4 linked regions of the Struthio camelus genome follow. The protein of the gene in region 4 purifies or fractionates together with the protein of the main gene of each other region. This does not show direct contact. Links are inferred from orthologs where the notes say so. Each region holds a gene or a part of one and is shown on either strand. Other genes may lie near its edges. The genes, in order: CCT3; SQSTM1; POU domain, class 5, transcription factor 3; SOX2.

Region 1 (7,104 bases), on a different chromosome or scaffold from region 4:
ATTAATCAGAAGTATCTGATCATGCGAACGCTATCACATACAAGAATTAAGTTAGCCTGAGACAGGGCAAACTTCAGCCTTACCCTTTTTAAAAAAGCACACGTCTTAGTCACTCTTCTTACCAAGGATAATTACAGATGTGGTCCCATCTCCAACTTCTTCATCCTGAGTACGGCTGATCTCAATCATTGACTTTGCAGCTGGGTGCTGGACTTGAATCTGGAGGGGAGGCAAACAGCATGCTTTTGGTCCAAAATATTAAAGCTGAAACGTCTTGTATTACTCAATGGAACAAACACTACTACACCTTTTAAGTGATCAAAGGCATTCTGTCCAATTATGGCAAAGAATCTTCTTCTTTTCCAAGACGGAAAATAAGCCCTCGTGTTCCACAATATTGCATCTCCCAGTTTTCCGGCACTTAGAATTCTATGATGTTATTTGAACAAAGACTTCTTGGTCTAATTATTTGCGTGGTAAAAGGAACCATCTACTCATTCGATTTTGAGGCCTACAAGTGACTATAACTATAATTAACATCAAATTTATACTAATCTTGGAAAACCACCACCACAACTTACTACCCCGGGGCCAAATCTACTTTCCTGAGGAGAAAGAATTAGCTAGAAATATTTCATTCCTCCCCAGTAAGCACTCTTCTTGGTACTGCTGTTTATTACTTTTGGCTTTCAGGACTCAAGGCAAAACAATATAGTTCCACTGGCACCTACTTCACTGCATTCTAGAACATTTTGACTCACTTGTTAAACAAAACAATCCTTTAGGAGAAACTTACTTCTCTAAGAATAGCATTGCCATCATTGGTCATCACGATCCCACCCATAGGGTCCAAAAGCATCTGCAATATAAAGAGAGAAACATTATTTGCAGTGGCCTGCCATACGTGCACTGTTTCTAGTCAATATACAGCACAGAGGATTTCAGCAGTTTTTACCTTCATCATAGCTCTTGGTCCCAAACATGTTCGGATGATGTCAGCAATAGTCTAAGAGGGGAAAAAAAAGAATTAGGCAATGTAAGGAGGCATCAATGTCTAAAACAGCCTCTAGTAAACCATAATCTACATGAAACAGGCAGCCACTGCATTAGAGCTAAGTGACCCAACAATTCTATAGTGGCTTAGATACAGAAGTTGTGGGAACTTCGGGGCGCGGGACTATAGTAGTGTTGGCATCCCCCTAAGCTATTGTCTAAATCAGAAGTCAATATTTGTACATTTTCAGATTTTGCAGAGAAAGAGGTTTTGGTGGGGTGCTGCTGTTTGCTGTGTTAAACCCCTCAGTGTCCAGTTACACTGTTAACACCTGTTGTTTTAACACTGAAAATTCATTTTCTATGCTCCTTCTACTCTAGACTCATACAGCCTAGGAAAAACTCTCCAAATTCAGTTTCTCCTCTTAAATTTAAATGAGACCAGCATAATAATATGGTACCTTAGCAGCAGTGATGTTCCCAGTCTGGACTTTTCTTCCAGACTCGCGTTTCATATTCTGACCTAAAGTACATAAGAAAAAATAAATAGTAACAGCCCAAACATAACTGAAATCTGATCTTACTAGAAATCCAAGATCAAAGTAGTAATACTGACAATGCATCACAGATACCATCCCAGGCACATACACAGGATATATGACCAGTGCTAAATTAAGGGCTTACAAGATAAATGCGACTGCCAGTATGAGAGAGCATACTCACAGAACCATATTAACAAAAAACAGCATTAAAGAATTCCTGGTCATCAGCATAATTCAACTAAGACAAAGTTTGGCACACTCAAAATATGTTCTCTGCCCCCCAACAAAAATCAAACAGCAGTGATTCACTAGAATCTGTAAGATCCCATAAAGCATACAAATTGCTGCACAGGATTTTTCAGCGGTCTGAACAGTTATTGATGCTCATGCACAATAAGTAAAACAGCATTATAAAGTTAAGCCTTATACATCAGTGCCGCGCAGCCTTCAGGACATTAGTGCAAGCAGTCATCACCACACCAGAGCCTCACAACCATATTAGGGGACCAGCTGTCAAAAGGGATCTGCCCCAAAGAATCACCACCCAGATCAGCTCTGGTGCCGCTTTTCCTTAACTACAAGCCCAGAAGGGACAAGCACAGCTTTACTTCAGGAGAGGACGCTTGCGCACGTTGATGAGATTTACCAGACAGAACAAAAGAGAGCAACGCGAAGGGAAGGACGAGAAAGCCAAGCAGAGAGCAGTGCCCACAGGAAGGACTCCCATCAGAGGAAGGCAAGAGCCTCGCAACAGCGTAAGGGGCTCAAACACGGGACAGCGAAAAGCGGAGTGCTGAGACACACACGGGGGAAGGAATTGGGAGAGGGGCGGCCACGGCCGGGGGGGGGGGGGCAAGGCCCCGGCCAGGGCTGAGCAGCAGCTGTGAATAGCAGGACACTGAGACACTTGGGGGGGGGGGGGGGAAGCTCAGGGCGTGCCGGGGCGGGAAGCGGGGGTGCAGGGAAGCCCCCGGAGAAGAGGGAGACCCCCGCCCCGAGCGGGGAACCGGAACCGGCAGCGGCTGTGAGGGAGGGCCCGGCTCTGAGGGGGGAACCCAACATGGCGGCGGGGGTGGGGGGAGAGGTAAGGGGGACCCCCGCTGCCCCCTGCACCCCCCCGGGGGACCCCCCTCCCCCGAGGTCCGGCGCGGCCCCGGCGGGACTCACTGAGGACGAGGACGGGGCGCGGGCCCATCATCCTGGAGGCGGCTGGAGCGCGGCGGCCGGCGCGGAACCTTCTGGAGACAAGCGAGCGCGAGGCGGCCGCGCCGAGAAGTGCCGCTTCACAGTGCCGCGACACCCTACCCCGCCTCCCTCCCGCCACGGCCAATCAGCGCCCGCGTGGCCGGCCCGGCGCCCAATAAGAAGACGGCGCTCCCGCTCCCCCCTCCTTCCCCGCCTCTCTCAGCAAGTTCGGTTGAGAAGCGGAGCCCCTAGAGCGTGTGGCAGCGCCGCGCGGGGCGGGGCCAGGCGGCACTGCGCATGCGTAGGCCGCACGCGCCGAGCTTGCGGAGGGGCGGTGCCGGAGATGACTGCGCATGCGCAAAAGGGCGCGGAGCGCCCCGTTGGAAGGGTCCGCGGGGGAGGCTCTCATTCCGTGCTCCCTGTCGCTCCTGAAAGGTGCCGGAGCAGGACGAAGCGGATCCAAAGAAGAAATCGAAAGGGGCTAGAGGGTCTCTGAGTGTCATATGGGGGAAGTTTAGTCCTCAGCGCCAACCTGACCCCTCCCGTAAACGCTTTGGTCTCGCCCAGCGCGGGGCATCACGGGAGTGGCAGGCTTCCGCGCGGCATGCTGGGAGCGGTAGTTCGGGCCGCCTGAGGCCCGGGGCGAGGGGCTGGGCCGCCGCGCTGAGGGCGCTGCCGGGCGGGACGAAGCTCCCGCCGTCGGGCCTGGGCCGCCGCCCTGGTTCGCCTCAGAGCGGAGACCCTCGGCCTGCGGCTGCGAGGCCTCCCCAGGGCCCTGGTGTATCGTGATTCCCCCCTCGGTTCAGCGCTCCCTGAGCCCGAAGCAGCCGGTTACCTCCCCCTGCTCGTGATCCAGCCCGTCAGCTTGCTCAGTATGTTACTATAGAGGAAGAGGGGCAGAAAAGGAGTCCGTTTGCCTTTTCGCAAAAGCAGCAGCAGCAGCCTGGCTGCATGGAGAGGTTTCCAGCTTTCCCAGTTTATTTTCCTTGACCTGTTTCATTGAGTAACACGGCTCTTTTTTTTTTTTTCTCCCCTCTCTCGTAGTTAGCAGCTCTCTTTCTGCTCATATGGAGCCACCAACGGTTAACCAGGAAGAAAAACACACAGAAAAAGTAGGTTGGATGTGTTATCCTTTGCTGTCCGGCTACTGCTTGAACAAGGTGCTTTGCAGAGAAATTCAAGTCTCCTCTCCGTCAAAAGCCCTAAGCGTTTTAGGCCAAGGACTGGTGTTTTCTCAGTGTTTGTGTGATAGCTGCCCCCATGGAGTTGTGGTCTATGACTGGGCTTCCTGGCACTATAGCAAATCGTACTGATAAATATCTTGCGTAAATTTAAGTCTCGCTGCAGCTCCCCACAATAACAATCTTTCAAGGAGAATGAAATAACGTGTGTGAGGCAAAGCTTCAAAGTATGGTAGGTGGGCGCTTGGTTTCTGGGGTCTATTTCCAGTTGCAGGCTGGGAGCGTAGCCTAAAGGGTGCAGCAGTGGGGTCAGACTGTGGTTTTCTGCAGCTCTAGTTAGCCTTGAGTGAGTCATTTTTCCATTTTATACTTCCCATTCCTCAGTGGAGGAAAGGGCAAAAGCCTGATCCTCCTGTCCTTTCTTTCTCAGCCCCTGACTGCCAGCCACAGGAGTGCTTTGCCCTGCAGGAGCGCATGCGCAACACGCTCCGGATCCAGACTAAGGTTGCTCTGGCCTATCTGACCCTCCCGATTGCAGTAGATCGTGCGGCTGCTGCTGCAAAGCCAGCAATGTAAGAGGGAGGAGCAGGAGGCAGGTCTGCAGGGCACAGCCTCTCTCCCCAAGTGACCCAGCCCCACGCTCTGCCCTCCAGTCACCTCTCCTTTGTATATCCTGCATGGAGGTGCGAGCATGACAGTCCATATTACAGTGGCTGTAACAGGGCTGCCCTTGGAACAGGAAGTACAATTATTATCGATGTTTTCTGTATGATTTTTTTTAAATGGTTCATAGCCTTCCCAAGGGCTGTTCAAAAGGACCTGCACTGAGGTGTTGGAGAGAGGAACCCAGCCTGTGGTTATGCAGCTTCTGTGGTGGACAGCTGACATTGATTTGAGCTTTGTGATGTTTCCCATAGTCTGTGGCTCAGCTAAGCTCTGCCCAGTTTCAGGAGTGCTAACTCCCAGTCTCCTGCTCTATTACTGTCCTGGTTCGTGGGGGAAAGAAGAAAGTGGGTACGTGGAGGTCTGTTGCCAAACGCTGAGCGGGGAACTTTGATAAGAGCAAGAGGAGTATGAGGAGGTACATGGAGCCCGTAGCTGGGAGGTTTCTGGAGAGGTGGATTCATGGGTTGTTTATTTGTGTGTGTGTATGTGTGAGGAGGAACACGTATATGGAGGTGTGGATTTGGGGAAGTTCTTGTGCCTTTGTGGCCTTCCTCCCACCAGAGGTCTGCAGGCAACTGCCTGAGCAGCATGGGAACAAGTGACCTCTCAAGGCTTCCTCCTGGAGATTGAGCCCAGCAGCTTTTGCTTTGGTTACCGGTTTTGCAATGGGGAGGTCAGTACGTTTCCTAATCTGTCGGAAACAGAAGGGCGGAGCGTCTCTGGTGTGAGGCTAGTTAGCGGAGTGGCCCTAATATACGAAGGTACAGTTTTGGGGGCTGTGTGCTGGGAGAGGCAACCCACATAGCTAACCTCACGTTTAAGGAATTTAACCGTGATCCCACTCCCTGCTCTCGTCCTCTTCTCCCTCATCATTTTGCAGAGTCTCTATGCAGTCGTCATTACTGGTGAGCTGGGCACAGCTGCTGGCCAGCCTAGTCTTCAGCATGCTCCTGCTGCTCCTCCTTGAAGTGCTTTTCCGAGCCGTGGTGGTCATCGGGTTCCTGCTCTACCTGCTTGTCGCTAATTGAAGGCAGGAAAGTGGGGAAGGCACCTCATCTCCCCCTTGGGCCCAGAACTCTTCAACGAGGAGATAAGAGAGGAGAAATACACAAACTGCCGGAACAGATGGCGAGAAACGTGAACAGTAGTCAAAGGAAGAGGGGAGGTATGGACTTTTTCTGGCTTCCTATGTTCCATCCTGGCTTGGCAGCTTTGTTTACTTCACTCCCAAAGCACTAACTCCAGCAAACCTGAGCTATAGGTTCAGGTCACTGGTCCTCTCCTAAATAAAGGGCAACCAGGTCCTGGAGAAGTGGCACTGCCTTGCTCCAGGGATCAGGTGTACCTACCAGCCTGTCCTACCAAGCACCAAAATCCCCGTGCACCTCCAGCCGCCTCCCCTGGGGCAGCGGGGCCTGGCACAGGCAGCAGCTCTCCGTTTTCTCCCCCGGGAGGGGTGGTTCTTAGTATTTGTTTGGACTAAAAGCTGGCGTTTTGCAGACGCTTCTGCCAGGTTTCCTTGGGCAAAGCCTCTGCCCCGAAAGGGGACCCAGCGGCGGCGCGCTGTGCGCAGGCGCGGAGTCCGGGGGGGAGGACTACCTTTCCCAGAGTGCTGCGCGGCGCCTTCCGGTCGGCGGGGACTTCCGGCCGCTCTGTGCTGACTCGGCCTTCCGCTGGGTGCCGCGGGGCAGCGACGGTGAGGGGCCTCTGGGGGTCGTGGGGGGGGGGTCCATGGAGGGGGACTGTGGGGCAGGGCGGATCTATGGGGGAAGTTGTGGTGTCTGTGGGGCAGGGCAGGGCCGTGGAGGGAGCCCTGGAGGGGGTCTGTGGGGCAGGGGGGAGCCCTGGAGGGGGTCTGTGGGGCAGGGGAGAGCCCTGGAGGGGGTCTGTGGGGCAGGGGGGAGCCCTGGAGGGGGTCTGTGGGGCAGGGGGGAGCCCTGGAGGGGGTCTGTGGGGCAGGGGAGAGCCCTGGAGGGGGTCTGTGGGGCAGGGGAGAGCCCTGGAGGGGGTCTGTGGGGCAGGGGGGAGCCCTGGAGGGGGTCTGTGGGGCAGGGGAGAGCCCTGGAAGCCCTGGGGGGGGGGGTCTGTGGGGCAGGGCAGAGCCATGGAGGGAGCCCTGGGGGGGGTCTATTGGGCAGTGGAGGGCCATAGAGGGAGTCCTGGGGGGTCTGTGGGGCAAGGGAAGGCGTGGGGAGAGCCCTGGGGGGGGGTCTGTGGGGCAGGAGAGGGCCATGAGGGGAGCCGTGGGGGAGGGGGGTCTCTAGGGATAGGGGAGGTTCATGGGGAGAGTTCTGGGGGCAAGTAGGGGACTCTCTGGAGGAAAGGGAGTGTTAGGAGGGTGGTCTCTGGGGGAAAAGTGGGGTCTGGGGAGGGGTCCTGGGGGAAGGGGGTATGTCAAGGGCGTGAGGGAGTCCTGGAGAGGGTGTCTCTGCAAGAAAGGGGGGCTCTCTGCTGGGTGAGGGAGTGCTGTAGGGATTTCTGTGGGGCAAGGGAGATCTGCTTAGGGGTGAGGGAGTCCTGGGGAGTCAGTGGGGCAG
Region 2 (7,988 bases), on a different chromosome or scaffold from region 4:
ATCATGTCTTGTATCTGCTCTGCAACAGCACTCACTTCTGTAGCAGGATCTGTGCTATTCCAGTCTGGTTTGGTCTGACTATTCTGGTCAACAGTACTGCTGCTGGGCTCAGCACTGTTCTTCTCTTGATGGGGAGAAGCAGGAGTCACTTTGCTCCTCTGTCCTCCATGTTCCACATCAATATCAACTTCAATACCTATAAAAGCATTTGAGAGGAAGAGTTTTACAGATTTTTTTCCAAAGCTGAGCCCTGAAAGAGCCTTTGCTAATCCTGGCCTAAACTCGTTAGCATTTCTACAGTTTCCTATGGAACATGCAGGAATTAAGTGAGAAACTTTTGTTTTAAAACAAAGAAGAGTTAACCAGCAGACAGCCTCATCTTCCTCTTGGGACAAGTGCTCCATACATTTAGAGGGTCAAAGCAGAAGTTGTACACATCCATATAAGCAAGGCAAAGCCCTGAGTCATCTCTGACTTCATGATACAGTCAAAACATATCGTCTTTCCTCATTTCCTTCCAAATGGGGACTCCGGAAGGGTATTAAGTGGATGTTTTAAGTCTAGGCGTTTTTAGGACAGGGAATAAGTTAAGGTTTTCAGGCTTGGCAGCATGAGGTATCAGGTATCAGTCACAACAGCTCATTGCTCCTGTTAAAAGGAGCCACACAAAGCCAGTCTCAGGGATGGACAAACCGGAAGTCACTTACCCAGGGGACTCAGAAAAGCTGCAACACTCTCCCCAACATTCTTTAAGAAGGTGACATTGGGGTCCTGAGGCTGGCTGTTAGTAGAAGCTTCTAGAAAAACAGTTTCTGTTAGCACACAGCAGCTCAGTGGGGAGACGGCATTTATAGAGCATATCCCTCAAGAGATCTCCGTATTTGTTTTCTATTGCTTATCTACACTGCACAAGAAAGGCAGTATAGCGACGTGAGCCTTAACAAGGCTCTTGTCATTGGTTTTCTGTTCCAGAGCTAGTTCATTAGCCATGCTGCGAGAGGCACGTCTAGAGCACAGTAGTGATGAGCTTGATTTAACATAGCTCTCCTTGATACGATCTCAAGTAGTATCTCTGTATCCTCCTCTATTGCATGGGCCCAAGCATGCCTTAAGACAATCCTACTCTGCCCTGGAAGGTGCTAATTATTTTAAGCAAATAGTTTCAGTGTTTTTCCACCCAGATTCCACAATTCCACACCATGCTGCAGAAGCCTCATCTACCCCGCCACTTCCACCACCACCTTTGTTTACCAGAGCCTCTCCTCTTACCTTGCTCAGTGGGTGGACTGGAGGCTGCAGCACTGGCTTGGGCTTGTTCAGAGTTTTGACAAGGAGCTGGAGGAACAGGATATCCCCAGCGATGCATCCATGGGAAGGGTGGAACACCATGCCGCATCTTACGGAGCCAACGTCCTCGGGGAAGCCACTGGAAAGAGTAATGTTCATGTGACTGTGTTCATACAAAGATTACGAGCAGCTGAAACTAAAGGAATTGATTTGGTTTAGCAGCTTTCAGGGAAAATCCTTCTGCTATGGAGGGAGATTAGCAAACAGGATTTTGCTCACCTCAAACGGATGTAGCAGTGGACTTTGAAACATCACCATGTTGTGCTCCTTGTGGATGCCCTTACTCTCACAGGTGCTGCACAAGTCATAGTCTGGACAGACAGTGCACTTGAACCTAGCACCCACCACTGGTCCTTCACAGCCATCACAGATCACATTGGGATGCACCATATCACGGGGAGGCTCCTGGCTGCATTGTGCACGATGTTCTCGCTTGCACTCTTTTTTCTCTGTTAAGGAAAGGAGACTGTGTCTAGAACCAGGTTACTATTTAAAGGCTGGGAATCAGGCAGGGGAGAAGGAAACAAACAGCACTTGTTACAGCAGGATTGACTTACTAGGTCAGTTTATTTTTATGCTAGCTGCCAAACACAAGCCGGGGGCACGTAAGAGAACCTGAACCAAGAGTGAAGTGGTTTCACCAAAATACCTGCTCCTTGGTCTGAGCAGGCCTTATCCTTAATAGATTCTCTTTCCATGTTTGCATTTGATTAACAGCGCGCTACTCCGTTTGGCTTCTTGCCCTACCTTCCTGGGCATCGTCCAGACAAAAGGCTTCATAAGAGGGATCTAAGAAATGCCACGAGACATAACAGATGCAAATGGGGACAACAGCGACAGCTTGTTTAACTCCTTAGACTGTGGACAAGGCTCTGGAGGTATCTAAATCAACACAAGGCAGTAGGGGGCAACTAAGCACTGATGAAAGGACTGCAATTTCAGCTTCTTGACATATCACTGTTAACATTAACGAGATCAGTGCCAGTCACGTGTTTCCAGGTAGCCAGCACAACTAAAATGGCCTTTTCTGACCAGCTGAGACTACAGGGCTAGGAGGAAACCGGTAAGTTTGTCCACCTTACCTCAGCAGAGGGGTCTCCTACTTTGTCCTTCGTTCAGCCCCTCCTCCAGAGGCTGCGGGCTACACCGGCCCCCCGGGGACGGGGCGGGTGGCCTGTTCAGGGCCAAAAACGTTACCTTTGATGTAAACGCGGAGAACACCGTCCTGGACATAGGGCAGGGCCAGCTCCAGTTCTTCATCGCTGGAAAAAGCGATCAGGTCCCCGTCTTCATCTAGAGAGAGCGGGACTCGCCGTCAGACCCCTCGGCCGGGTGGCACCAGACGCCCCCCGCCCCCCGGCCCCGCTCACCCTTGTAGTGCATGCGGAAGGCGGGCGGCGGCCCGGCCCGCAGCAGCCCCTGGAAGAGCTCGGCGACGCGGTCGTGGATGGCCTGGTAGCGGGCGGGCGGCGGCAGGGAGAAGCGGCGGATCTCGCGGGCCGCCTCCTCCTTGCCCAGCAGGTAGGCTTTGACCGTCAGAGCCGCCATGGCTGTGGCGCAGCAGGAATTGCCGTCGGCGAGCCGGGCCAGCGAGCGAGCGGGCAGAGCGCAGCGCGGCGGGCGGGGCGGCGCCCACCCGCCCGCCTTTATAGCGCCGGGCCGGGGGGGGGGGCCCCGCAGCTCGCCCCGCCCCTGGCGCCCAGGCTCCGCCCCTAGCGTCTAAGACGTTCTTCAGATTCCTGGCCCCGCTTCCAGGCCCCGCCCCCCCGCTTCCAGGCCCCGCCCCTGTCCCCGCCCCCGGGTTCTAGGCTCGCCCCAGATGCCGGCCCCTCCCCCCAGCGGCAGGCTGTGCCCCGGTTCTAGGCTGGCGCCGGGTTCTGGCTAGCAGGGGAACCCCCGGGAGCCGGGCCCACCCCCAGGGCCAGCCGCCTCCTCCCCGCCGGGGCCGCGCAGCCTCCGGTAGACCCCGGCTGCTGCCGCCGATGCAAAGGGGTCGTTCCCCCCCCCCCCCCGTTAAACCACCTGCAGCCGCAGCAGTCAGCACCTAGCGTCAGGGGCTCGAGTTTGCTCCTGGGCTGCCGGCCCCGAAGCTGCGGTTTCCGCGCCCGGGGCTGGATCCTCGGCCCTCGGAGCACCTCCGGGGAGCGAGGGGGCGCGGGAGATGCAGGAACGCGTCCCCGCGGGGGAACCGTGCTCGCGGCTGCCGGGGTTGAGCAGGTGCCATCGCCGCCCTGCGGCTGCCACCGCCGCGGGGTGGGCTGGGCGCAGAGGGACCCGGCTGGGAGCGCCGCCCTGGAGGGGAACAATAACGTGTCAGCTAACAATCTTTCCTGAATCCTTCTTTTTTTTTGGGAGGAGGGCTAAAAATAAAGATACGAGGATAAACACAACTGACATTAAGGATGCTGTTCTGGGGACTTTCCAAGCCGGTTGGCAGCGGTGGTTTTCTGCGGATCAGATGCAGTCGACAGGCCTCTTAGGCCGCAGGAGAGTCAGCTGGCCGACAGCGCTATCTGCCCCTTCCAAGCGTAACTGAATCAAGAGGGATCAATGACTATTAGGTTCCTAGTTGGTGTTAATTTCCTCTCACCTAAGGGCCTCGCTGCCCTCAGTGTTAGCGACATGTTTCTCAGTCTGAGAGAATACAAATTTAGGAGAAACTGTGTCATGATTTATCGTCTTTTGAAATCAAGAGAAAGTTAAGTTTGCTTTTCCACGATGGGGAGGGAGTTTGTTTCTCGACCTGATACATGGGGAAACAGCTGCCCTTCCACATAGATAAATGTTTGGCAGACGTGTGGCAATTCTGAAGTCGAGGCATTTTCTGGAAAACAGCGTTCAGGGTAGATAAAATTGCCTTTTTTTAACTTCAAAGGCCCGGTTTGCTTCCTAGCTATTTCACGGCCGGTTCTCCAACCAGAAGCGATGAGTTAACGTTTAACCGGGAGAGGAAGTAAGCGACGCTGGGCGGCGAATGATTCAGCACGGTTAGCAGCACTCAGTACTGAGCGGTTTGGGCACGAAGCGAAGGCGCAGGCCTCTCGCCCTCCCTTCCCCCCGGTTGCCGCGCGTGCGTCTTATCTCTGAAAGCGCCGCTGAAGGGTGACGGCCTGACATCACCGTACGCGTCGCACGTTGTTGCACGAAGCCAGCAGAGCGGCGGGCGGGCGCGGGCCGAGCGGCGCCGGGTGCTGCCGGCCCGTCCGAGCCGCCTCCCCAGGCGTCGCCGGGGACCCGCTGCCCCATCCGTCGCCTCCCATCTTTGAGGACCCCCCTGGTTTGGAGCCAGGGACGCGGCTGTCGGGAAATTGTTTCCGTAGGTGCCCAGTTGGCGTCCTGCCCCAGCAGCTCCTGCCGCCGCCGCCCCGGTGCAGACCCTGCTGCACCCTCCGCCGCGATCCCGCAGCGGTTTGTTCCGAAGCTGACGGGTCCTTTCAAGGTGGTCGCGTCTCCGGATTAACGTCGACGCCTGTAATTCTCGAGAGAGTCACCGCGTTAAGCGCGGAAGCCCAAGTTTCGCTCCGGGTGAACTTTAAGCCACTTGGCAAACGTGGAAAGGGCCAAAAGCCAGAGGGAATTTCCCCTCGCGCCTGCTGCGTGCTGAGTCACCCTCGCCTTCCCCTGACATCACGCACTTTTTCAAAACACACGGAAAACAAAGCTTTACCCCCCCCCCCCCGGCCTTGTCCTTAGCTGAGCTCCGGGATCACGGGGCAGCGGTGACTCGCGCCGCCCCCTCCAGCGCGGCGCCGGGGGCCCAGCTGGCCGGGGGGGCCCCGAGAAACGCCGCTGCGTCCCCCCCGCCGCGGCTGGCTGCGGCCCCGGCCCCGCTGCACTCGCCCCCCCGCCCCCCCCCCGGGTTTGGCTTGAGCTCGCCTGAACTCTGCGCGTTTTCTGTGCGTTTCGGGGCAGCTATCCGCGGTGGAACAGCAAAGGAGACGGGGGGGGGGGGGAGGAAAAGCTGTTACAGTTGCAAATTTTGACGTTAGGGAGGAAGGGCTCAATGTTAAAAAATAAGAAATAAACTACTCAATGTTTAAAAAAAAAGAAAACAACTATGACAAAGGAGCAATGATCGTCCCCACAGCTCGTGGTGCTCCCTCTGCACCCGCTCCCTGCTGGGAAGCGTTTAAAAATATCGCGTGGGATTGGTGCTCCGCGGGCGCGATCGCTGCACATCCCCCCCATGTCCCCGCTCCCTGTGGCCTCAGCAAGCTCCCCGGGGGCGCAGGAGGGCGGCCAGCCGCCTCTCCGCTTGCGAGCCTGCTGGCGGCGGCGGCGGCTGCTGCCGCTGCTGCTGCTGGTGCTGCTGCCGCCGCTGCTGCGGCTTCTCCAGCGGAGGCGATTTCTGCCGAAAGCCTCGCTTCAGCGGGGCCCGCGACGCGTCGGGCCTTGGGATCCCCCTTCGGGGCCCTGCGGGCTGCGTGGGGGAACCGAGGGGGCGAGAGGCGGGTGACTCAGCCCCGTGTCCCGTGTCCCGTGATCGCCTCCCTGCCGTGACCGCCCGTCCCAGGCGGGAGGGAGGCGGGCGCGCAGCGGCCGGACCCCCGAGCCCACCTCCCGCCTCCTCTCTCCGGAGCCGGCTGCCCCTCAGCGGCCTCTTACAGCGCGTTTTAGGAACGCGCGTGTGTAGGAGCTGGGCTGAGGCGCGAGGGTCACGACCAGAAAGTTTGCTCTGGAGAACTGGATGCGGAAAAGCTTCTCTCTCAGAAGCGCAGGCAGAAGGGAAGGTCAAGCTGTCCTCCGTTTTTGAGGTTTTTTCCCAAGGTTAGCTCATTCAGTACCTTTTGTCAGTGGTGTCACGCGGAAGTGCGCTCTAAGCACAGAAGAGTCTAGGACTCTTTTTTCCGAAGAGGAATAAGTAGGGGAAAAAACCTCTGTTTAGCAGGCGCGCAGGGCAAACATCGTGGCCGTGCTGTGCTGCGCAGGCAGGAGGGCTCTCGTGTTTCCAAAAGCGAGGGGGAACTTTTCGCAGCCTCCGCTGACTGCTCGAGGTGACTGCTGCTCTGCAAAGGTGACTCGTGGCTTCCGCCCCGAATTAAAGCCGGAGCGTATGAGCAAACCTGATGTAAACACCCTGCAATGAAATCCGGCATCATTTGGAAACGTTTGTAGCGGAGTAAACCAAGTTATCATGCTCTTCAAGCGCAGGGCTGTGTAAAACAAACAGGAAATGAAGTTACTGTGTTTCATGAAAAGGGTAAAACAGCAAGCAGGCTTTGCTTAAATCAGCCCTGGGACGGACCGAGCGTGACCTGATCCCAGATGGGCCAAACTCCAGAGCCGAGCTCTGGGGAGAGCCGGGTTAAATCAGCTATAAAGCCGGGTTACGTTTTGCATCTAGAAGTAATGTATGCTTTCTATTTTTAATTTTTGTTACAGCCTCCAGCCCCGGGGGTTGCTATCAGGCTGCCTTCAGTGGAAGGCCCTGCTTTCTGAAACGGGCTCGGGATTGCCAACGTCAACGGCTCAAAGAGCGTGAGATCAGCTCAAAAAGCACGTTCTCTCTGTTTATTCGCCATCGGGGTTTTATGTCTTTGCAGTTCACATTTTAAACTTGGCACGGCAAAAGCACCCAGAAGGCCTGTCAGAACTTACTTTTTAAACAGAGTAAATGTCAAAACTGAAGCAGAAGGGAGGAACTTTAAGAGTAAATGCGAACTTTGTCGGTCTGAGATAAAAGTTGCAACCGCTGGCAATTTCGCTTAGCCCCACCTTTTTCCAACAGGGCCCAAGGTTTTTGATGTGCAATGGCAGTATAAAGTTCCTCCATTTCTTCAGACCTTTATGAAGACAAAGTGTAAAAGCTGAAATTAGATTAAGCTTTGTCTTAGGAGAACACTGTAATTAATTGTCTTGGAGAAACTATTCAGATTATCCTTTTCTCTTCTGCTGCCGATAAACCCACATCCCAAGTGTCAGGAACATTTTGCGTATCTGAAAATAAACGCCGAGCATCCGATGCACTAAACTGCGTCACGTCGTTTCGCCGAACTCTTGAACGGCAGAGAGATGGCGTGCGCCTTTCCCACCAGCAGCTGTGACCCGTCAGCTACCTCTGGAGGGTTTTTCCATTAATTCCTGTGAACCTATTGCTGGTTCCCGGGTTTAAGTTGTGGATTTAAGGGGAGAAAGAAAGTAGCGCAGTGCTCAGCTTTGGGGGGGTCACAATGACCCTGCGGCGCGTTCCCCAAATCCGGCCCCCGCCAGGCGCCGGGCCCCTCCGGGACCGGCCGCTGGGACGCGGGGCGACTCAGCCACGGCGCCGGGCTCGCTCCTGGCAGGGCTTTAATAAACGTCCCGCGCCGCCCGCCGGGCTCCCTCTGCTGATTCGCTCCAGTGATGCCTAAAAGATGTCGGAGGGCCCCGTCAAGACTGTAAAGGGCCGTTTGTTTCCTAAAGTACAGGCTCGAGGGAGGTAGCTGGGCAGGGGGGGCTCCTGCAGGCAGGTGTTATCGGGGCTTTCCCTCTTACGCGGGTCCTGCTTTTAACCAGCCGTTGCAGCTGGCCAGAGCGGGCGCGAGGCAAGGCGCTGCGCCCCGCCGGGGTGACCGCGGGCGCCTCACCTGCCCAAGAGGAAATCGGGAGCGCCCCGAGGGCCCCCTTCCCGCCGGTGTCGCGGGATGCCCAGCGCTACTCGT
Region 3 (7,174 bases), on a different chromosome or scaffold from region 4:
GCCATGGGGCCAGGGACAGAAGGTTTTCCCCAAACCCTGAGCAAGGGATTCTGTTGGGCCCTGGATCCCAAAGCACCTCCACCCCACCTTGCTCTGCAGCAAAAACACCTGGAAAACTCCGTCAGGACCTGGCCTGGCTGTGGCTCACCAGGACCATGGCGCGCATGTCCCATCTACTACACCAGCATGGCTGGTGCAAGGGCAGGTGGCGGGGAGCATCCACGGCTCTCCCTCTGCCCCTAGACGTGCCAGGGAGCTTCCGCCCCCGGATTCAGACCCTTGCTGCCTGCCCTGGGGCAGCACAAACACAGCCTGAAGCGCGTTCGCTGATGTCCCTGGCATTTCCCCTCCATCACACATCCTGTGACCCATACCATGGTGCTCAGCTACCCAGGGACATGGACACCCATCTCCCATGGCCCTCCGGCACAGAGAGAGGGGCACGCACCAGCTCTGCAGCCTGCTGAGGCCCAGAGCAGGCAAAATGACTCAGATAAAGAAAATGAGGAAAGCGCAGATGATCTGAATGGGTTTTTAACAGATCTTTGCAACGACCAGGCTCTACACTTCTGGAAAGCTGCTTACCTAAGTGCTTCATTTCCTCTCTGCATTACAATCTGGAACCACTGCAGTGGACATTTTGCAACCATTTAACAAGTTTTCACACTCGTAGCAGAATTTCAGATTTTACAGAAGTGCCTCCTGCCCACAAGTCTCACCTTTTAACTGTTCGCAGACATCACCCACAACAAGCCTGAGCGCATCCCTGCCACAGGGCACTCCCGACCCTTTCTCAACTGACAACAAGAATTTCATCTAACCCCCATCCGGCACTGCAGAGCCACGCACGGGTCAGGACAGCCCAGGCGTTTGGCCACACCGCGTGCACCCACCAGTGCTCACAATTTGAACTCCGTGGGTCTGAGCGCTTCTACTCCCTTAGGCACCAACACAGCAGCAAGCCTGCATGAAAACAACAAACCAACCCGCAGTAGAAAAAACTTGCAAAAACTTTCTAAAAAAACCAAAACAAAACACATCACCATTTGCTGTTAACCCTGGAGTAATTTTGCCTGGGAGCACTGGTTTTCTATTATGTCAAGAAGGGAGTTTAAAAACAAAAAACGAACACACAACTTCTGCCAGTCGTGCTGCTAAATCGTGCTGCCTGCCCCTTGCTGGAGCTGCTGAGCAAGCGGGCTGCAGGTGCTGGGGCTTTCCGTGCCCCTAGGCTCAGGTAACTACAAGCTCCCAGTGGAGCCCTTCAATAAGCACAAGTTTGCGTTTTCCCACCGCACTCTGGGAGGATGCCAGCGAGACCCCCCAGCAGAAAGGGTTTGGAGAAACAGCTGTGGTCTTTTCATAGCTACACAGGTTGGAGACGACTGTTACAGATCAGGTGCAGCGAGACATACCCCATAGCCATGATCTGTTCTGGTGTTCCTGTGATTCTCATCTGAGCAGAGTTTTTTAGTACAAAGTAACATGCTCAAGGAGCATTCGACCCAACTCAAAACTGCCCTCAAACCTCAGCAGCGGGTCCCAGTCACCCACAGAGGTTGGGAGATTGCAGTGACGGAGGCAGCAGAGGGAAAGTCAGACCCTGGGTACTCCCCTTCTTCCGCAGCATCAGTAGCATCATGATGCAGGAGGGATCACAGCACGTCTGAGTCGGATGCTGAGGGCATCCGGAGGTTGCCCCGCACAAGGATAGCTTAAGGGATTTCTGCAACGATTCCCAGCCTCTCACGCCCTGGTGTCTGCACAGCCAGCGAGGGACCGGAGACCCTCCCGGCAGGCAGCTGGATCCAAGTCCCCACTGCTTTTTTATGTGCTGAGCAGAATACCCTCTGCTGGCAGGTTTATTCTCCCCTTGTCCCCCTGCGAGGTTAGACGTTCCCCCGCCTCGGCCACCTAGGAGCTCTGTTTTGAAATGTCTAGAGGGAGGAAAAAAAAGTAAAGTGCAAAGCTGCATTTGGGCAGGAGCTGACAGCAAAGTGAGCAGCAGTCGCCCAGGGGCAGGGGGCTGGGGGACAAGCACCGCGGTCACCCCCAGCAGCGCCCGGAGCTGCTCGGCCTCTCCCCGAGCAGGGTGAAGGCTGAAGCGCCCCTTTCAACTGGGGGGGGGGGGTCCGCAGCTCACCCGTTTGCTCCGTTTCTCTGTGAGAGGTGCCCCCCGCCCCGAGCCCCGCTCCGCCCGGCGGCAGCGGGCCCGGCCCCGACGGTCGCCGCCTCGGCTCCCCCGGCAGAGCCGAGCTGAGCGCCGCCTCGACGGGCTCCTCGGCAGCCTCCGCGGCCCTGCCCCGGCCCGGGCGTCAGGCAGCGCCCGCCGGCACCTGCCCCGGCCAGGGCAGCCGCCCCGGGGCAGGCCCGAGCCGGGACGGGGCGCCCGGCGGCCGGCAGCGCAGCGCAGGCCTCGGGGCGCCGTCGCGGGAGGCCCGGCAGGGCGGAGCCGGGGCGCGGAGCGGCGCAAGCCCGCTGCCGGGGCCGGCGTCGCGGGTCTCTCACCTCGTCGCCGCTGTCGCTGGACTGTCCACCCTCGCTGGCGGCGCCGCTGGAGCTGCCGCTGCTGCCCAGGCTGGAGAGGCCGCCCGAGCCCTGCTGGAGGGCGGCGGGGCAGAGGCCGTGGCCGGCGGGGAAGGCGGCGGCGGCGGCGGCGGCGGCGAAGGGCGGGCCGGGCAGGGCGGCGGCGGGGGCCGCGGGGCCGCCCCACGGCGGGGCCGCCCAGGCGGGGCCGCAGCAGGGCGCGGCGGGCGGCGCGGCGCGGCCGTCGGGGGAGCCCTGGCGGCAGGGCCGGCCCGGGCGCGCCTCCGCCTTGGCCGCTGGCCCCGCGGCCGGGGGCAGCCAGGCGCGGGGCGCGGCTGCGGCGTCGCGGCCGCCGTCGGGCTCGGCCGCGAAAGGGAAGAAGAGCTGCTGGGCGGCCGCGCCGTCGTAGCCGCTGCGGGCGAAAGGCGGGCCGCCGTCGGGCAGCAGGCCGAAGGGGGCGGCCGGCAGCCCCCCGTCCGGGCTGAACATGGTGCCCGCGGCCCTAGGGCTCCATGCGGCGCTGCGGCAAGGCCCCGCCGCGGCGCTCAGGCCGGGCGCAGCTCGCCCGACGGTGCCTCCATGCTGCGGCGCCGCCGGGGCCACTGAGGGCGGCGGGGCCGGGTCGGGCCGGGCCGGACCGTATGGAAATGGGCCCCGGCCCCATTGGCCCCAGCGGCGCGGCCGCACCGGTGGGTCGGGCATGAACTTGATCCCCTTTTTCTGGTGGGGGGAGGATGAGGAGGGGGCGCCGCCGGCCCGGCCGCAGGGGTGTCTGTCCGGAGGGGAAATAAAACAGAGCGGCTATGTGATTTATGGCCCTCTGGGACTCTTCCCGTTGGGGCCATGGAAAGGAGAAGGCTGGATCCCCCCCGAGTGGGGCGATAAACCCGGCCATGCTGTGGGGCACCCATATGCTATGCCTCGAATACCCCGTTTGTGCAGCAAACAGCAACCTGGCAGGGCCATGACTCCCTGTCCCCCCGCGCACAGCTTATGGGGTGCTTGGGGATGGGGGAATCCAACGTCTCCATCCCTCTGTAGGCAATGCTCCCCTCTTAGCATCTCCTGACCTTGGGAACTCCCTGCTGTAGGGTCTCGTGGTGGGCAGGAAAATAGCAATCAGGTTGGGGGGGGGGACATACTTTGCAGATCGGTGATAGTCGCAGTGGCCTGAGCTAAGCTGGAAGGTGCCCGCTGGGGTGGGCGCCTTGCCTAGGGCTGCAGGCCGGCCCTCATCAGCAAGACTGAGGACGAGCCCCAGGGATGAGCAGCCACCAGGATGCTGCTGGGGTGCACTGGGGGTGCCTTACAAGCGCTGGCCAATCCCTTCTCGCCTGTCTACAGTCCGAGCAGTGCAGGCCTGCTGCTCCGTGGGATGCCTTGCTGAGTGCTTCAGAGACCATGGCCAGGAGAGAAGCTGGGCACCCCTGGCTTCCTTGCGCTCCCACTGTTGCTCCCCTCTTCCTCACCCTGCAGAGGAAGGGTTGCACCTGGGAGGGCAGGCATCTGCTTTGCTTTGCAGAGCTGCGGCCTTTCACTGCATGAGGCCCCGGAGCGCTGGGTGTGCCGCTCTGGGGCCTAATCACGGCCCTCGCTATCACGCAGATCGGCTCCACAATGGGACAGGCATGATATTTTTCGCTATCTTAGGGGCTTTCCTTTCACACTGCGGCTTCACAATGGAGCTATCAGACCTGGGCTCAAGGCATTTCCCCCCTTCCCTCCCATCTCCCATCCATGGTGGCTTTCCGCGGAGCCCACGGAGGTGGCACGGCCCTGACGCTGCCACCCCATCGGCCTCGGCGGAGGAGCCAGGGCACAGGGAGGCACGGGCAAGGCAGGTACCTGGTGACCCCCGGCAAGATGTGGGGCAGCCCCCCATCTCCAGGGATGGGGCCCCTGTGGAGCAGGCCCGCTGCCAGCACCTTTCCCTGTTTATTAACCCGGATTACTGCGAGCTGTTGTTTAGCCTTCTGCAGTCTCACACTCGGGAGATATGCCAAAGAGATAGGCTTGAAGAGTGCCCCCACCCCTTGGCTTTGTGTTTTGGATAGTGCTTCTGGCAGGGCCTGAAAGGAAGGCGTTTTGTCACTGATTTATGAAACAATTGCTCTGGGTGGTGGCTGCTGAGCTAGGAGCTGGGGCCGGCTCCCGGGAGGGCTGCTCTCCCCCAGGCTGAGCACCCTTCGTTTCGGTGGCCCTTGCTGCCCTTTGGGGGACGTGGGTGCGTGCACGTGTTTAAGGGATGCAGAGAACAGCCCCCCACCCCGTTGTAATGAATTTTATAAAAGAGAGGAAAAAAGGGGGGGGGGGAACAAGAGGGTGAGCTGTATTTAAAGCTCCTTCCCGACTCGTGGATGGTCTCGCTGGGGGTTTGCGGCGTCGCCTGTCCTGGCTGGCTGTGTGGCGGGTGCCTGTCACCCTTCAGTGCACCCCGCTGCTGTAGAAAAGGGAGGGCAGCCCTTAGAAAAATGCCCTCGGGAAGACTTGAAGGCTGCAAAAAAGCACTCGGTGGGGAGGAAGGCAACCCCGGAGTGCCTCAGGGGAGAGCAGACCCCGCTGCAAGCCGGGGCTGCGGAGGGCAGAGCGGTGAATCCCGCAGCTGCGGCCAGGCGCCTTCCCACTTCCCGCAGCACGGCCGTCACGGCGGCAGGCGCTGGCTTGGGCTGTGCCGTTTTCCGGCCGCTAAGGAGCGAGCCGCTCCTCCGGCCGGGGCTGAAGGCCGCCGCCGGCAGCGGGGGCCAAGGGGGCGAGCAGGAGCGGGCCCGGCCCCGGCCCCTCTCCGGAGGATGCCGCCCGGAGCCCGCGGGCAGAGGAAGTGTCGCCGCAGGACTCCAATGGGCAGCGATCAACCTCTGCTCCTGCCGGGCTCCAGCTGGGGCTGCGACGTTTTTAGAAGACCCTTCAGCTCGGCAGTAACTCCCCCTTTCCCTTTGATTTATTGTTCCTGGCCTGGGCCCCCTCCTCCTTCCCCGACCTGCTCTTTCTCTCCATCCCCCCAGGAAGCGGGGCCGAGCCATCGCGCCCTCAAACACATTCCAGCTCCCTTTCATATACAGGCGGAGGCGAAGGGGAGACGTTGACTTTGAACTGCCTCTTTGTAGGAGCCCGGCCCATTGTGGGCAGTGATGTTTTTCGCTGGGGGATGTGGAGCAAGTCAGTGGGGTTTCTCTCCGTCCCCCCCATCCATTTCAATAGGGCGAGCTCTGGGGCTGCGCGAGGTGCAGGGCTCCTGGTGTGCCCCATGGCCGGCGCTCGGCAGCTCCTCACCTCCTTCCAGGGGAGATGCTCCTAGAGTTTGCATGCTCCGGAGGAGGAAGGCCGTTGCCTCCCAGCGTGTCCTGGCAGGCAGGCCGTCCCCATACCCACAGCCTTATCCTGCAGCACTGTAGTGCTTTGTGGCAGGCTGAGCACTGTGATCTGTAACCAAGCCAGATGTCAGTGGGATCCTGCTCAGAAAATGGGAGCAGAGAGAAATGTCCGTGTCCTACCAACCTTGGTGAGATGATAGCAAGCTGGGGGCACTGAGGTGCGCATGTATCTGTCTCTCCCGTCTGCTGCATTATGCTGGCTTGATGCTGGTTTGGCTTGGCTTGGTGACAGAAGATACTGCGAGAACGTGTGGCCAAAGATGATGTTTTATTCACTGTCAAACCACCCTCTCTCCTGTGGCAGGTGAGATAAAAGGACTCTGCTGGATGCACCTGAATTTAATGCATAATATACTGGAGTCAGAGCAATGTGGTGGGCTGCATCCCTGCACACGGTGGGCATGGGGCCAAAGTGGTCAGCAGCAACGTGAAGGGCCCAGCTAGGTCCATGTTTGAAAAGCTTCGCTCCAGGCCCATCTGACAAGGGTCAGACCGGTGGCTTCCGCCCCCAAAGTCCCATCTAGGGCAGCAAAACTGAAACTCCTCCATGGCAATCCAGTTTGCTAGGCTGCAGCTGGACGGGCCTGCCAGGGCTGGACAGACAGACCTGTGCAGCTGCAGGTAGGTGAGGGAAAGTCTCCTTTGCACCCCGGCCATGGATCCTGACCTGGCAAATCCTGCTTCACCAGCCTTGCCCATGAGTGTGGGACAAGACCACTCAGCTGTGATGGTGTCATCCTTGGGAGCAGAGCTGGGCGCTGCCCGCTGGCCCTCCTGGTGTGCCCTTGCCTAATGATAGCATTAGGTGAGAACAGCCCCCTTCACTTCCCTGCCCCCCCCACCACATCTTGCTCCCCTGGGTCCTGGCCAAAGGACTGCTCCTTCCTTCAGCTGAGCAGGGCACTCAGCTCTGCCTCCGCCCCCCCAGGCTCTGGGCTTGCACCACAGCTGGGGACCTCCCTCTGCTCCGCTCTCCTGGCTCCGTGTAGCTGTTTTGTTTGGCAAGGATTAAGCAAGGGGCTTAGCTGGGAAGATGCCACTTGCTGATGCTGGGAAGACGAAAGGACTGCTTGTAGCATATGAGCCCAGGCTGAGCTGAAAGCCGTGGAGGATGGTTTGGTCCAGATCTGCATCCTCATTAAACTGGCCTGTGCAGCCCAGCCCAGCAGTAGGCAGCCTGGGTTGTAATTTGGGCATCACCCACATCGCTGCAAGCTTGAACCACCAGCCCTTCTGCTCTGCAGTTATTGGGGGGGGAGGGGGACTGCACACAGGTA
Region 4 (7,587 bases):
CTGCAATTCAACTGTAATTTCACCCTGTTATATTGTGCAGTAATTTCTGAGTTTATCCTCAGCACTGGTGCTTGATTTTCTGTTTTATTTTGGGGGTCATGTAGCAAAAAAAAAAGGGGGGGATGAGGGGGAGGACTTTAGTTATACTCTCCTCTGGGAAGAAAGTCCAGGGAGTGTTATTTTAGATGCATAGAAAAAAAATCGCAGGGAGTTTGAGAAGGCTGTTGGCTATTTATGACGAGTCCTGGAAGAGTGTTTGGACAATCGGCTTCTCCATTTATTGAGAAGCCCTTTGAAAGCGACTTTGAGAGGTGGTGTGTGTGAGCCGGCTTTGCTGCTGTTTATTGTGTACGTTAAACACGTCTGAGGAGGTTTCTCTATTTTTTATTTTTATTTTTTTAATTTTGCCTCTGGTAGCACTGCAGAAAGGTGGACACGGATTTTTTTTTTTAACCTCCCCGCGTTTTTTTTTTTTTTAACGCCATAAAAATCAACAGCTGAGCGCTGGTTCGCGGGCCGGTAGCCGGGAGGGGAGGTGGCAAGCGGGCCGCTCGGAGGGCGCGGAGCTGCCGCTTCCCCCGGGGGCCCGGGGCGGCCCGGCCGCGGCGCGGGGGAGCCGCGGGGCGACGGCCCCGGCCGTGCGCTCGCCGCCCGGCCGCACGTGCGCTCGCCCTTAGGTTTCATTAGGGAGAATTAGGATGAAAGAGGAGCCCGGGGAGGAATGCCGAGCTGCCTCGGCATTCCCCAGCTTTCAAGGGTCCTTAGAGCCCTTGAATGAAATTATTGGGTGAAATTGGGTCTGGCTGGAGCATTTGTTACTCGCCCCCCTCGGTCGTTTGTACATATAATGCCACTTCTGAGAATGACAATCGGGCTACTTGCTGGACAGGCAGGGACAAAAAGCAGATTAAACCGTTTTAAATAATAATAAAAAATATCCAAAATGTAAGCAGAGTGGATTACACTTGCTCCAGCGCCTCGGTTCCCCCCAATTCCCCTAAGAGTCACCCTCGCCCTCGGGCCTCTCGGAGAGGAGGCCCTCGGCGCCGGGGGGGGGGAATCGGGGAGCTGAGACAGCCCCACTGCGGAGCGGGTGCGGAGCAGTGTGCGCAGCACCGCCGCCGCGCTAGATGCGGCCTCTGCCAACTGTTGAAGTTTGCCTGAGCCCGTTTCAGCGCCCCGCGGTCGCTGCCGGGCCCCGACGGACGCTCCCGCGGACGGGCGGTGTTTGCTCGGCTGCGGGAATCCCGCGCTTTCCGCGCCTGGTGGCGGCCGGGGCCGCAGGGCCCTTCCTGCGAGCCACCCGGCCCCGGCCCCTTCGGTGGGTTTATACCCACTCGCCGTGGGTGTTTCTTAGAGCGTTCAAGGGCATTTCTGCCCACCTTTCCCTCTGGATGCTACCGCAGATTCACCAGGTGATATTTGAAATTCCCCAGAGACAGGGGTATGGCTAGCGTGGTGAAACTTCCTTGGCTAACTTTAGCTCCTGTGTGATGAGCTGGTACAGAATTAGAGGGGGAAGAGGAAATTTCTCTGTACATTTTCGTCTTCAGATTTTTTTTTTAATGTAATGAAATTAAAACTTTTGGAGCTCACAGCTGACATTTTGCAGAAAATTGAGTTATCAAGGCAGTAATTATTTCACAGGGAGATAAAACTCTCATAGCCCTAACTGTCAAATAGGGCCCTTTTCAGATTTTAATTACAAAATAAAATTAGTCTGCTCTTCCTCGGAAGGGTTTGTGAGTGGCTAAACAGAGCTTTCCCCAATACTGGTGGTCGTCAAACTCTGCTAATTAGCAATGCTGAGAAATTCCAGTTAACAAGGACATTCTCTAAGTCTCTGCAGGTTCCCTGCCGTTCGCCTTCATTTCCATAAGAAGATTAAGAGTGGAGGGGAACACACTCAAATGCAGATGCAGAAAAGAAGCGTTTTTAACAAGCATCATAATAGTAAGATGCTTGGCTAGTTCTCACCTAATTACTGCAAGTTAAACCTCTATTTGCAGCTAAGGACAAAAAATGGAGCTGCAATCTTCCATCTCCACAAGACTGCTTAATAGTTTGCTTTAGATGGGTTACTGGTAGGTTCAGGAAAAAGAATATGAAAATGGGTATATTCTTTCTGATACAGTTAACACGATAGGTTGTATCCTCAGGGTTTTTAAAGAAAGCAGCGAGTATCAGAACAATAAAAACATAAAATTCAAGTAGCTAGCATTCATCTTCTTTTTCAGAAACTCATAACCTGGAAATAAAAGTGAATGTGCCGTAGAGCCCACCATTGAGAACATTTGCAGACTATTTGTTTAAGCACTTTTCATTTCCATAAATTATACCAAAGGCAAAGATTTTTTAAATCCACCCAGATTAAACCATCCCTCTGCAGGCCTCCCTTTCAACGTGTCTATATTCTTCCAGAGAGTGGTGGTGGTATTGTTATTAATACAGAAAAATGAGGTACCGTTTCCTCCTTTTATTTTATAGTCAGCATCCCAATCTGTCTATACTTCTGTGTGTCTGTGTACACATATGCAGCCAAACACCTATATAAGCAGAGGAAAGGGAGAAAATGTTCTAAAAGAGGTCTCGCCCTTATCTTATTTTCTATAGCGCGTTATTATGTATATATGACAGACAGAGTTTATTGCGTCGATAAGTAAAAGAGTTAATTAAAATAAAGCTGTAAATACTCCCGATAACACAATTGTTGGGTATTTCCACCCCTTATTTGTGTGATAAATACAGTTAAGGAAGGGCTGGGCCGGGCCGGGCCAGGCCCCGGAGCCGCTCCAGCACACGCAGCCCGGCCCGGCCCGGCCCGGCCCGGCCCGCCGCAGCTACCGCGCGAGCGAAAAGAAGACTTGCTTGTGCACCACCAGCCCTCAGTTATCAATTCAGTACGAAAAACAAACACCACTGCCACCCACCCCACCCCCTTTTTTCAAACTTAATTATCCCTGAGATTTTTTTGGAATAACGTTATCAACTGCAGACCCAAGCGTAAACAATAAGAAAGTAAATAGCCGTTGTGCCCTCAGGAGGGTCTGGACAATCAGAACCCGTTTATTTCCTGGATCTCATAATTTCTACCTATTTTTCCATGGTTACCCTGTCACTTATCTAGGGGTTCTATATACATTTTCGAATTAGACACATTAAATCCGATCGGATTTATTTGCATAACCCACAAAAAGATGCATCCGTGCTGCTGGCGTATTCTTATATGTATGTACGTATATAGTGCTATTATTTAGATGGCATGTCATTACCGGCTCCTTCCCCCCCCCTTTCCCTTCCCGCTCTCACGCCGCTTTCCCGCGGCACCTCCCGGCGGGGCGCGGGCGCAGCCAGCAGGGGGCGCCGCCGCGCCGCGCCTGAGCGCCGCGCGGGGCCGCGGACGGGGCCGCGGACGGGGCCGGGGCCGCGGCGCTGCCCCACGGCGCTGCCCCTTCCCCCGCCGGGTTCCGCGGGCTCTGCCGCCTCCGCGGAAAATCACCCTGCCCGCGGATCCCCCGCGGCCTAAAGATGTGAGGGGTGCTCGGATTTGGGGCAAAAAAGCCGGAGCGGGGGTGGGGTGGCGGGGAGGGGAGGGGAAGGCCCGTCGGTGGGGCAGGCGCGGAGCGGGGCCCGCGGCTGCTCGCCGCCGCGCTGGGGCGGGCGCGGGGCCGCGGGCGGCGGGGCCGGCGTGAGGCTCCCCCCTCTCCCGCTCTTCTTCCTCCTTTCCCCTCCTTTCTTTGTCGTCAAGTGCGTTTTAGCAACAAAGATCCCAACAAGAGAGTGGAAGTAAACTTAGCCGCCGCTTTGTTTGGCCCCGTGTAGTGACAACAAGGGAAACAAAACTACCTATTTGTAACGGCCTCGCCGCGGCTCTGCCCCCCCCCCCGCCCGGCCGGCCGCTGCGCCCCGGCGGAGCTGCGCTCGCCACCACGGGCGCGGGGTAACGCTGCGCCGCGGCCCGGCCCGGCCCGGGGCTCCCCGCCGCCGCCAGCCCCGCCGAGGGGTGCCCCCCCCTCCCTTGGCTTCCGTGGGCACGGCGTTTGGGGCACCCCCTCCCCTGCCGCGGCTGCACCGGGCACCTTCCCTCCCCCCCCCCCGGCGTTTCCCGAAGCCGGAGGAGGGAGGGAAGGGCTCGGCGCTGTGTGCCAAGGTTTGAACGGAGCCGGGCTCGGGGCAAGGGAAGCGGGAAGGGCGCAGGTTGTGCCCGGGCTGCCCGGCCGGGGGGCTGCGCTTTTGGGGGTGAGGGGGGATGAGGGGTCAGCGCGGGCGGAGCCGGCCGCGGCGAGCGCTGCACACGCAGGTCGCCGCCGCCCGCGGGCCCAGCGCAGCCGGGCGGCCCCGCCGCGCCGAGGGGCGCCGGCCCAGGGGGGACGGGGGCGGGGGGAAGCCATCGCCGCTCTGCTCCCTCCATGGCTTCCCCCAGCCCCAAGCCAACACCAACTTATAAAAAAAAAATGTAGCAACAATGCTGTTTACCCACTTCCTCCAAAAGGCGTGTGTGACCTGTTGCTGGAAGGGGAGATACAAAGGCTTCCCAGTGGCTGCCTGGGCCGCCTCTGGGCCCGCCCCCCCCCGCCGCGCCGTCCCGGCGGCGCCGAGCCCCCGCCCCGTTTCATGCAAAACCAGGGGTAGAGACTTGTCCTCAGTGGAGGAGCCGCCGCGCGCTGATTGGCCAGGGCGAACACATTTATTCCCTGACAAGCCCCCATCACATGGATGGTTGTCTATTAACTTGTTCAAAAAAGTATCAGGAGTTGTCAAGGCAGAGAGAGAGAGTGTGTGTGTTTGCAAAAGGGGGTAAAGTAGTTTGCTGGCTCTTTAAGACTGAGGTGGAGAGAGAGAGAGAGAGAGAGAGAGAGAGAGAAAGAGGCAGACAGAGAAAAGGGAAAAAGGAGGAAGAAGTTTTTTAAAATCGAGGCTCCGGCAGTAATAATAGCAGTTATTAGCATTATTAATCCATCAGCGAAGAGGAAGATTCTGATCTTGATCCAAGTGTGGTTTTGGGGAGTCCCCCTCCCCCCTTTCCTACCCCTCCCTAGGAAAAAAAAAAAGTCCGGCTTGGGACTTTGCTGCCGCTGCTCCTCGCTTCTCTGCTCAAGGCTGGTTCCAGGCAAAAGTAGTTTGAATGTACAACATGATGGAAACCGAGCTGAAACCTCCCGCCCCCCAGCAAACTTCGGGGGGAGGCACAGGCAACTCCAACTCGGCCGCCAACAACCAGAAGAACAGCCCGGACCGGGTCAAGCGGCCCATGAACGCGTTCATGGTGTGGTCCCGCGGGCAGCGGCGGAAAATGGCCCAGGAGAACCCGAAGATGCACAACTCCGAGATCAGCAAACGGCTCGGGGCCGAGTGGAAACTTTTATCCGAGGCGGAAAAGAGACCCTTCATTGACGAAGCCAAGCGGCTCAGAGCTCTGCACATGAAGGAGCACCCGGATTATAAATACCGACCCCGGAGGAAAACCAAGACCCTCATGAAGAAGGATAAGTACACGTTGCCAGGGGGCTTACTGGCGCCGGGCACCAATACCATGACGACTGGGGTAGGGGTTGGGGCCACCTTGGGAGCTGGGGTGAACCAGCGGATGGACAGTTACGCGCACATGAACGGCTGGACCAACGGAGGCTATGGGATGATGCAAGAGCAGCTCGGCTACCCGCAGCACCCGGGCTTGAACGCGCACAACGCGGCGCAGATGCAGCCCATGCACCGCTACGACGTGAGCGCCCTGCAGTACAACTCCATGACCAGCTCGCAGACCTACATGAACGGCTCGCCCACCTACAGCATGTCCTACTCGCAGCAAGGCACCCCGGGCATGGCCCTGGGCTCCATGGGCTCGGTGGTCAAGACGGAATCCAGCTCCAGTCCCCCCGTAGTCACTTCCTCGTCTCATTCAAGGGCTCCTTGCCAAGCGGGGGACCTCCGGGACATGATCAGCATGTATCTACCAGGTGCTGAAGTACCAGAACCAGCTGCCCCAAGCAGACTTCATATGTCCCAACACTACCAGAGTGCACCTGTTCCTGGCACAGCCATTAATGGCACACTCCCTCTATCGCATATGTAAGACAAAGGGGCCGGGGGTGGGGGAAAGGAAAACTAAACAAAACAAACAAACAAAAAACTTTTATTAGAAATTCTGGACTTTTTTTTTTTTTGGACTATTTTTGTACAGAGAAAACTGGGGGCGGGGAGGGGGGGGAGAAATAAAACCGACGAGGAACTTGTATAGATCTTGGAGGGGAAGCAACTACACAAAACTTTTAAAAAGTTCTAGTGAAAACGGTAGGAACTTTGCAGAAAGTTTGCAAAAGTCTTTACCAATAATATTTAGAGCTAGACTCAAAGAGCGAAGAGGAAAATGTTTTAATATTTGCAGGCAACTTTTGTACAGTATTTATCAAAGTAAACATGGCAATCAGAATGTCCATTGGTAATATAGAGAGGGAAAAAAAACAACTCGAGAATTTGCCAATTATTTTTTAAAAATAGAGTCTACTTGGAGCATTGTGACTTTGGCAGCTGAATTTATAGCAGCTGCGAGAGGAGAGGAAATTATTTTACAGCATTTGGACATTTAAATTGTTTTAGAAATTGTACAAAAGGCAAAAAGGTAGGACGAGTACTTGCGAACCATGGGCTTGGTTTGCTATAAAAGGGCAAACGTTTAGCTTGTACTAAATTTTTTTTTTTTTACTTCTTGTTAAAAAGCAAAAATTGCCATGCAGGTTCACACGCCGTTTGTTAATTTATAATAACTTTTTGTTTCCAGACTTCATCCTGTTCAGAGAAAAGAAAAAGAAAAAAAAACCAACCTGAAATTACTGTGTTTGAAATATTTTCTTATGGTTTGTAATATTTCTGTAAATTTATTGTGATGATATTTTAAGTTCTTTTTTTTCTCATTTTCCGTAGTTGTATTTTAAAGATTCGGCTCTGTATTATTTGAAATCAGTCTGCCGACAGTCCATGTATATATTTGAACTAATACCATCCTTATAACAGGTACATATTCAAGTTAAGTTTTTACTCCATTATGCACAGTTTGAGATAAATAAATTTTTGACATATGGACACTGAAGTTACGCTTGAGTCTTGGATTTATTTTTGTAATGCAAGATTTTTTTTTTTAATAATTCATGCAGTAGAAAGTGGTATCGTTGTGAGCAGCTGAGTATTGTAAATAATACAGCAATATATATATTACACATGCATATATTTTTTATAGCTATATATAAAGTACAGTAGCTTTAAGTAGGTAACTGAAGGTGACTGCTTTGCAGGGACGGGAATGTGGAGTAACACGGTCTGTTCCAGATTCCCTTCCCCTTCGCAAGGAGGGCGCGGAGCGCGATGGGGTGAAAGGACGTTTCGGACTCGCCGTTTGGGACCACTTGTTGCCTCGGCGGGGCCGCGGCCGAGCCGGAGGGCTGCGCGGAGCCGAGCCGCGGCAGGAGGCGGCGGCGGCGCGGTGAGAGGGCCCAGGCGCCCCGTTTACGGGTCTCGAGCATTGATAATTTCTCTCGTTTCCCCCCCGGTGCTTTCTGCCGTGGGGCAGGCAGGAGGCAGTGGCTGGGGGCC

The links.
Region 1: the proteins of SOX2 (region 4) and CCT3 purify together in Homo sapiens (affinity purification with mass spectrometry; 3 studies listed by BioGRID and IntAct, with this or other methods). This does not show direct contact. The link is inferred for Struthio camelus from reciprocal best matches to the Homo sapiens genes SOX2 and CCT3.
Region 2: the proteins of SOX2 (region 4) and SQSTM1 purify together in Homo sapiens (affinity purification with western blotting; 3 studies listed by BioGRID, with this or other methods). This does not show direct contact. The link is inferred for Struthio camelus from reciprocal best matches to the Homo sapiens genes SOX2 and SQSTM1.
Region 3: the proteins of SOX2 (region 4) and POU domain, class 5, transcription factor 3 purify together in Homo sapiens (affinity purification with western blotting; 6 studies listed by BioGRID and IntAct, with this or other methods). This does not show direct contact. The link is inferred for Struthio camelus from reciprocal best matches to the Homo sapiens genes SOX2 and POU5F1.

Annotation. Positions count from the first base shown.
Region 1 is NC_090971.1:3,933,323-3,940,426, forward strand, and holds the start of CCT3 (T-complex protein 1 subunit gamma), read right to left. Parts: upstream 3,009-7,104; 5' UTR 2,734-3,008; coding exon 2,703-2,733; intron 1,517-2,702; coding exon 1,455-1,516; intron 1,007-1,454; coding exon 956-1,006; intron 860-955; coding exon 797-859; intron 220-796; coding exon 123-219; intron 1-122. UniProt on the Homo sapiens protein: Component of the chaperonin-containing T-complex (TRiC), a molecular chaperone complex that assists the folding of actin, tubulin and other proteins upon ATP hydrolysis.
Region 2 is NC_090954.1:7,033,515-7,041,502, reverse strand, and holds the start of SQSTM1 (sequestosome-1), read right to left. Parts: upstream 3,010-7,988; 5' UTR 2,896-3,009; coding exon 2,718-2,895; intron 2,641-2,717; coding exon 2,545-2,640; intron 1,797-2,544; coding exon 1,567-1,796; intron 1,427-1,566; coding exon 1,270-1,426; intron 798-1,269; coding exon 708-797; intron 197-707; coding exon 1-196. UniProt on the Homo sapiens protein: Molecular adapter required for selective macroautophagy (aggrephagy) by acting as a bridge between polyubiquitinated proteins and autophagosomes.
Region 3 is NC_090961.1:13,637,186-13,644,359, reverse strand, and holds the start of POU domain, class 5, transcription factor 3, read right to left. Parts: upstream 3,016-7,174; coding exon 2,509-3,015; intron 1-2,508. UniProt on the Homo sapiens protein: Transcription factor that binds to the octamer motif (5'-ATTTGCAT-3'). Forms a trimeric complex with SOX2 or SOX15 on DNA and controls the expression of a number of genes involved in embryonic development such as YES1, FGF4, UTF1 and ZFP206.
Region 4 is NC_090950.1:23,949,179-23,956,765, reverse strand, and holds SOX2 (transcription factor SOX-2), read left to right. Parts: upstream 1-4,679; 5' UTR 4,680-5,125; coding exon 5,126-6,073; 3' UTR 6,074-7,087; downstream 7,088-7,587. UniProt on the Homo sapiens protein: Transcription factor that forms a trimeric complex with OCT4 on DNA and controls the expression of a number of genes involved in embryonic development such as YES1, FGF4, UTF1 and ZFP206. Binds to the proximal enhancer region of NANOG.